2 linked regions of the Ovis aries genome follow. The protein of the gene in region 1 interacts with the protein of each later gene in a biochemical or structural test. Links are inferred from orthologs where the notes say so. Each region holds a gene or a part of one and is shown on either strand. Other genes may lie near its edges.

Region 1 (4,438 bases):
GCCGCGGGCTTTTTCGCCTTCTTAGGCGTCTTCTTAACGGCTTTTTTCGCTCCCGCAGCCTTCTTGGGTTTCTTAGGGGTGGCCCCTGCGGGTTTCTTCGCTTTCGCAGCCCCCGCCTTCTTGGTTTTGGGCTTGGCTTCCCCAGCAGCCGCCTTCTTGTTGAGCTTGAAAGAGCCGGAAGCCCCGGTGCCCTTGGTCTGCACCAGTGTGCCCTTGCTCACTAGGCTCTTGAGACCCAGCTTGATGCGGCTATTGTTCTTCTCCACATCGTAGCCCCCGGCTGCCAGCGCTTTCTTGAGCGCAGCCAAAGAAAGGCCATTGCGCTCTTTGGAGGCGGCGACAGCCTTAGTGATCAGCTCGGAAACTGGGGGCCCGGTAGCCTTGCGCTTCGCCGCTCCACCGCTCGCGGTCTTCTTGGTTGTTTTCTTCTTGGCAGGAGACTTCTCCACCGGCGCCGGGGCGGCCGTCTCAGCAGGAGCGGTTTCCGACATTGCGATGGGAGAACCTGCTAGAAGCAGAGAGACTCAAATTCCAAAGAGCAAGTTTTGCAATGCTGTCTTGCGCCGGCCCGGGTTTATATAAGTCGGTGCTGCCCTGTGATTGGTGGAACGTCCGATCCACCGCCCTCAGGCAGCCGCCTGTCGTGGTTGGACTCCCAAACTGTGTTTGTTAGTCCCCAAAATTTGATTAAATGTTAAAAACAGTGGTACAGAATTTGACTCTTTGAAGCTTCAGAGGAGGAAAACAGCCTCCAAGGTCACATACTTGTTTGTGTTTTTATGACTCACGCGCAGTTAATGAAAGATATTTTTAAAAATCCCTTCAGCTTTTCCTATAGATTCACCGGACGTAAGGCATCGAGCTACGTAGTTGCATATTGCAATAAAGTTTTAGTTAAGTATCAAGTGAATGTTTTTTAAAAGGCATTGTCGCCAAGTTCGGCCTTCGATTTTTGCAAGAGGAAAGACACTAGGTTCCTTGGTTTTGCTTAAACTTTGCTTCGAACGGCAGCAAGTAACACAGGTGCAGGATGGCCAGTTGCCTACAGCCACAAATTAAGCATATAGATTTTACTTTAAAAATCGGTTTTGTCTTCCACGGAGTTTCCAGATGCCATTGTTTTTAGAGAATGGGATTTCGCGGCTCGGACTAGTTCTGTAGTCAAAGTGACTTCTTCCATGAGGAATAGAAATTGCTTTGGCTTCAGAATCCAATGACCTGTCTTCAAATTCAAACAAATTTAGTCTGTTTTTGATTGAGAAGCTTTCTCCCTTTAATTTGTAAGCAAATCCATTAAAATGAGAAAGAAAATTTCTTAACCCAGAAATGTATTTTAGAAAAAAAACCCCTCTGAAATCGGCTAAAAATTATTCAAGGGCTTCCAGCAACAGCGGAAAGGCTGTTTAGATGGCATGGGTCTCTCTCCCTCTCTTAGAAGCTGTTTTCCTCCTTTGGAGCTTCAGCACTTTCCACTGCTCTCCCTCAAACTCCATTTCCACCAACATTTAACAAATTGAATGGTCAGGAACACCTTCTTTTGTAGGACCTCAGTGTGGATATTTCTGTATATTTAATGAAGATAGACCTGTATCTTTCAGTGAAATAATTGGCTTCTGACTATAAGTGTGGGTTGGATAGTAAGGGAGTGAGTGGAGGTTATATAAGTTCAAGAGAATTCAGGAAAACATTAACATCCAAGGGCCCTGAGGCAGTAACTTTGAGGTGAAATGGAGGGTGATGTTTGTTATTTTGGGGGAGGAGGAAGCTTGGAGAGGATTTTGTCCCTGGATGCAATGATGATTAGGGTCTCTCATACAGTCAACAGTCAGTTCTTGTGAAAACCTGTAGGCTGACACTTCATGTCTTCAGGGGTTCCTGGAGTTGAAACTATAGCCTCTTATGGCCAAATCTTATTTGGCTTATTTTTGTATGGTCAAGGTAAGTTTCTGTATTTTTAAGAATATCTTTAAGATGTGACAGAGACTATATGTTACCTGCAAAACCTAAAATATTTACTTTATGGCTTTCACGGTTTGAATTCCTCCTCAGATAGTTCATGTTTTTCTTACAGGTCTGCCTTTTTCAGAATTATGCAAACCCAGATCTAAAGAAAAGGAGATCTTAAGAAAATGATTCAATCAAGCATTTCCCACTGTTTCAATCACAAAACTTTCAGAAAACTTGGGAAGGCTGGGAGGGGAGGGGGCGGTGGCGGTGTCTGCTTTACAAAAGAAGGGCATAATATAGCTAACATTCATTGAGCATTTAGTGCCAGGAACGTCTTAGTATGGTCTACAAACTAATTCATTTGCCACATTTTACAGCTGTTGTAGGTGAGTCGCAGAGAGCTGAGTAATTGGGCAACTGGCTGCTGTGAACCTCGACCAATATTTCTTCCTGCAACAGGGAGACAGGAGACACATTATCTTAAGTTGTATGGCACTTGGCAAAAGGTGGGGGAAAGGCGCTTCGTTTGTCATTACAGAACTATCCACAGGAAGCACTAATTAAGAAGTAATGGACCACTTTCAGTCACTTCCTTTAGCCAAGGATTAAATATTCTCTTTAAAAAAATGCTTCCCCGAGAAACAGTTCAATAGACTGATTCGGAGCCCAGGATACAGCCACTTCTGCATAGTATTGCCGTGGCAGTAATATTTGGGTCCACGATACGTTCCATTTAAAACTCATGGCGTTTTTCATTTGCTGGTAATTATGTATACTCGACAATGAACAGCTCCCTTTTGGTGACAATTGAGGGGCTCTTAAAAGAGCCTTTGGTGGTATGTGTTACTTGGAGGAGCCACTAAATTTATGCTCTCTCCCCACGGATGCGGCGGGCAAGCTGGATGTCCTTGGGCATGATGGTGACGCGCTTGGCGTGGATGGCACACAGGTTGGTGTCCTCGAAGAGCCCCACCAGATAGGCCTCGCACGCCTCCTGCAGCGCCATCACGGCTGAGCTCTGGAAGCGCAGGTCAGTCTTGAAGTCTTGCGCGATCTCGCGCACCAGCCGCTGGAACGGCAGCTTGCGGATCAGCAGCTCCGTGGACTTCTGGTAACGGCGGATCTCGCGCAGAGCTACCGTGCCGGGCCGGTAGCGGTGCGGCTTCTTCACGCCGCCGGTGGCCGGCGCGCTCTTGCGAGCCGCCTTGGTGGCGAGCTGTTTGCGCGGCGCCTTGCCGCCGGTGGACTTGCGAGCCGTCTGCTTAGTGCGAGCCATTGGTAAGTAGTGCCAACTACCTAACAGTGATGTGAGCACTCGGTCTTCCCAAAATATATAGCGAACCTCGCATCTTGATTGGACAATAAACTGCTGCTCCCTCGCCTACCCCGCCCTTCCACGCCCATTCTTTCTGGGTTTAGGAAGCATTGTCCCGCCTCTTCTTCGGACTCTAGGATTACGTGGTGAGATAGGAAATATCTTGTTGGCTTTTTAAAGAAGCCTGCAGGATGTATCCAAATTCTTAAATTCGTCATCTAGAGTAGGGGTCCCCAACCTCCGGGATCTAACTGTCTGGTGATCTGAGGTGGAACTGATGAAATAAAAGTAAGAATAAAGTGTGCTAGTCTCTCAGTGTCCGAATCTGTGATCCCATGGACTGTAGGCTACCAGCCTCCTCTGTCCATGGGATTTTCCAGGTAAGAATACTCAAGTGGTTTGCCGTTTCCTACTCCAGAGAAATAAAGTGCACAATAAATAGTCGTCGCTCTTCAGTTGCTCAGCCGTGTCCCTACTCTTTGCGACCCCATGGACTACAGCATGCCAGGGTTCACAGTTCTTCACTATCCCTTGGAGTTTGCTCAAACTCATGTCCGAGTCAGTGATACTATCTCATCTTCTGTCTCCCCCTTCACCTCCTGCCCTCAATCTTTCTCAGCATCAGGATATTTTCCGATGAGTGGGCTCTTCGCATGACGCGGCCAAACTATTGGAGCTTCTAACATGGCTTAAATCATCCCGAAACCATCCACCACCCAGGCGCGTCGAAAACTGTCTTCCACAAAACCGGTCGCTGCCGCCAAAAAGGTTGGGGACAGCTAATCTAGAGAACCTTGCATTATTTTAGATATAAGCTGTCATGATTTGACAAGCTTCAATAACATGAAACGAGTGTTTAAGTGGAGGCAAGTTAAAGTCAATCCAGTCACCACGTTCTGTTCCAGAACTCTGTAATAGCTAACTAAAACGAAGCTTGGTTACCTTTTCCCCTTAATACTTCATATTTGTTATTGCTAGCCTTACTGCTCGGTGAGCTATTTACCCTTAAAGTGTGAGCAGTGAACACAAAGACCATTTTGCCTGGCTTACAAGAAACGACATCAAACGAAAATCTGCCACTGCTGGTGATGGAAATACTGACGAAGGACTGGAGGTTGTGACCATACGCAAATTATACGAGACCTTAATCTTTCCCACACAACCTAACGACTTTAG
Region 2 (3,810 bases), on another chromosome or scaffold:
TGCTTGGCTGCCAGGGCCAGCCAATCAGGCTCTGGGGGCACCTCACCTACCACCAGGGATGAGAGCTCGGGGGGCTGGACCTGAAGGGCTGGAGGGCGGACCCTCCCCAAGGCTTGTGCCCCAAGAGAGACAGACAGGAAGAAACAGGAAGCCGAGAGCAGGCAAGAGGTGGTGGGGACAGAGACCTGCAGGCTTGGGGGGCAGCGGCCACCCCCAGTTTCCTGGCTGCACCAGGGCACACTGGGGCAAGGCTCTCGACCCCGACCCGGCCACTCGGCATTTCATCCTTTTTCTCCTACCCTGCTCCCCTCCCTGGCCCCAGGGCTCCTGGGGAATAGATTCTAGAACTCAGACACAGACTCCTCTGTGGCAAAGGCGGGGACAAACTTGAGGAGTTACACTGAATAACTCAGGCTCATTGTACAGATGAGGAAACGGAGATTTTGGATGATTAAGTGACATCTGAAAAGCCACATTTTTGCCTCCTCTGCGATTTGAATCCACAACTGCCTAAAGTCTGAGCTGTATTTCCTTCCTCTCCCCTCCTCTCCGCCCCAGTCTGGGCTGGCCTCGCCACCTTTGCTCACGTCTTCTGGCCAGGCCTTGCACTGTCCTGCTCTTCCACGCTCGCCCCTCATTGTTCTGAGATGGATTTTCTGTAGCTGGTCCCATCACCCCAAAGAGACAACTGGGGCTCCCTCAGCCACCCAGAAAAGTGTTCTGCTTTTGGCCCCCAGCTCTGGAGCCAGAGGAAACCCATAAATACAAACACATTTGCATGAAAGCCCAGGGGTTCTGCATCTGCAGCTAACAGCTAGGTTTAGCGTCCAAGACAGCTGCCGGAAGCGGGAGCAGCGGCCACCAGCTTCCTGGGACAAATGTGTCCCAACAGACAGGTCGGTACCACTTGGTGTTTATTTAGACAGACAAATCAAAGCACCTGGTGGTTCAAACAGCTTGTGCTCCTTTTTCTTTTGGAGGGGGGTAGGAGGTCGCAAGGGTGTGTGTCATATATATATAATACATATATTTTAAAAGATCAACGTATCACCAGTCCCCCACATTTTTTTCTCTACTGAGCAATATATACAGCCTATATATATATATATGTATGTGCATATATATATATAATATATATATATATTTCAATAGATAACTACATTCAAGTCATGAAACACAGGATTTACAATTTCCCTCTGAGGGCAGAGGAAAAGCAAATTCACACACAGTTCACAGAGGAAGTACCATGAAAGCCCAGCTGGACAGGAGCTGAGGCCCCTCTGGGACATGGGGGGCAGGCAGCAGCAGAAATCACGACAACTGCACGGTTGCTTATCGTGGGGGGCAGGCAGGTGCTGATGAAGTGTGGGCCCCACCTGCGCTGCCGGGTCGGCAGATGGTGCTGGCTGACCCAGGCTCCCGGGCTGGGATGGGCTTTTGGGGCACACGTTCAGGAACCTCAGTTTTCCAGGAGCCTCTCAAATTTGGGGTTCACAAAGGAGAAGCCAGCAAATGCTGTTTGGTCCATGGACTCGATGAGGTTCTTGTCACTGTAGGAGAGGCGCGGCTTCTCATTCAGGAACTCCTGGTCGAAGTTGCTGTAGTCTCCAGGTGACTTCTGCAAGCAGAGGGTAGGGGTGTGTAAGCAGGACTCAAAGGGCGAAGGTTCCCGGGGTTCCAGGGACCCACCCCTGGGGCCAGAATCCCTGCTGGGCTGGGCCATGCAGAGCCATCCTTATTGAGAACAGAAAAGGGAGCCTCTCTGCTGGAAGGGAGATGCTGTTACCCAAGAGGCTGAAGGAAACCAGCAGGGGGCCTGGAGGAGGAAACGTGGGCATTTGCCCAAGCAGGCAATACAGCCCTGGGTCAAACCCCTTCCACCACCTGTTTCTGTAGGTCCCACCAGCTCAGACTGGATTTTGCATTTTTAAATGTTTAGGAAAAAAAACAAAAGGAGAATAAAATTTCATGACATGTGAAAATTAAATGAAATTCAATGGTTCAGTATCCATAAATAAAGTTTTATTAGTACACAACCATGCCTATTAACTGACATGCTGCTATGTCTATGGCTACATCTATGGCCACTTTGAGACTAGCTGGCCTGAAAAGCCTACAATATTTCCTGTCAGGCTGTTCACAGGAAAAATCTGCCAACTCTGCTTCTCAGGGTACAGTGAAAGTGTGATAGAAAGAGGTCTCAAGCTGGTGGCCCTCAGGCCAAACTGAGCTGCAGGTACAACCATTTTGACTAGCCATGAGTTTTAACGGCATTTGAGCCAATTTTCTTTTGGCCTCACCACGTGGCTTGTGGGATCTTAGCTTAGCCAGGGACTGGACCTGGCTCCTAGGAAGTGAAAGCTCAGAGTCCTAACCATTGGACTGCCAGGAAATTCCTGAGCCAATATTTTTAAATTAGGAAATATGACATCAAAATCAAGTTTTGGGGACTTTCCAAACTATGGGTTCAATTCCTGGTTGGGGAAGTAAGATCCCATGTGTTGTGTGGTGCAGCCAAAAAAAATTTAAAAAAATCCAGGTTCCTGGCTTCTTTGAAAAACTGACAGAGCAGAGCAGTTTGGGCCAGTTTCCTGGCAGGTCTGTTAACTCTTGGTGCTGAAACCCCTTGGGGCCAGCTCATCACAGGCCCCTACCTCTTCCTTCCGAGAGGGATTGCTGCTGATTAGCACATATGCCTGGTGTTGTTTAAAATCAGTCCATCCCTCTTTCTATCAAAAGCATGACACTAAACGCAGGCTGTGGGATATTCCTACAGCCTGCCTTGCCTGGTAGTAATGTGCCCAGTGCAGGAGGCAGCAAGTTTTAGGTCCCTGGAGTCGGCGGAGTTCTCTGCGGTTTTAAAACACAAACACTGGAGCATGTTACATGGGCTGCTATGTGGTAACAGTGTCCTCAAGGAGCGAGGGGAGGCAAAGGAGAGAAAGAGGAAGGGAGGGAAGAGCTGTGATCAGAGAAGGGCCTTGGTGTCTGACTTCTGAGAAGTCCAGCCTGCCTCTGCTCTCCTGCTCGCTCCTGGCGGCTTCTCTAGATTCTAAGCTGTTGTGTACAGCAACCTTGCTTTCCTTGGAAAGCATCTGGCCCCAGCCTGGCCGGGCCTCCTCAGCCCTGCCCACATCCCATTTCCTCTCAGACCTACTCCAAACTCTGGATCCTGGCTCCTGCCGACAGACCCTCCTCATGGCAACTGATTGTGTGTGGCCTTGTGACATCTCTCATACTGATGCCTTTTATCATAAATGATCATCGGCATGCAACTTTCTTATCTCTCTGAAGAGCTGGGGCCCTCCAGTTCTCGGACTGGGCCTCCTACTCTGCTGTGCATGCAGCCCAGCTCAGTGCTCTGCACTCAGAAGGCACTCAGCATTTTCTATATTTATTGCAAAATGGATTGACTGGGTGGATGGATAGATGGAGGAAGGGAGGCCTTAACTCTGATTACCAAAGCATACTCCCCTGCACACAGTGGGTGTTAAAGAATGTATGGTTGGATTTCCCTGGTGGTGCAGTGGATAAAAATCCACCTGCCAGGGCAGGGGACATGGGTTCAATCCCTAGTCTGGAAAGATTCCACAATGCCTCAGAGCAACCAAGCCCGTGCACCACAGCTACTGAAGTCTGTGTGCCTGGAGCCTGTGCTTCGCAGCGAGAAGCCACCACTACGAAAAGCCCACACACCACAACAAAGAGCAGCCCCGGGTTGCTGCAACTAGAGAAAGCCTGCATGACGCAATGAAGACTCAGTGTAGCCATAAATAAATAAATAAATAAAAGAGAATGCATGGTAAAGGG

The links.
Region 2: of the proteins of H1-5 (region 1) and PRKCD, one has a biochemical effect on the other in vitro, tested with the Homo sapiens proteins (2 studies listed by BioGRID). The link is inferred for Ovis aries from reciprocal best matches to the Homo sapiens genes H1-5 and PRKCD.

What each region holds. Positions count from the first base shown.
Region 1 is NC_056073.1:29,965,336-29,969,773, reverse strand, and holds the start of H1-5 (histone H1.5), read right to left. Parts: upstream 2,884-4,438; 5' UTR 492-2,883; coding exon 1-491. Other genes in the region: uncharacterized protein LOC101120961, read right to left, coding at 2,884-3,267. UniProt on the Homo sapiens protein: Histone H1 protein binds to linker DNA between nucleosomes forming the macromolecular structure known as the chromatin fiber. Histones H1 are necessary for the condensation of nucleosome chains into higher-order structured fibers.
Region 2 is NC_056072.1:47,844,860-47,848,669, forward strand, and holds part of PRKCD (protein kinase C delta type), read right to left. Parts: intron 1,619-3,810; coding exon 1,460-1,618; 3' UTR 1-1,459.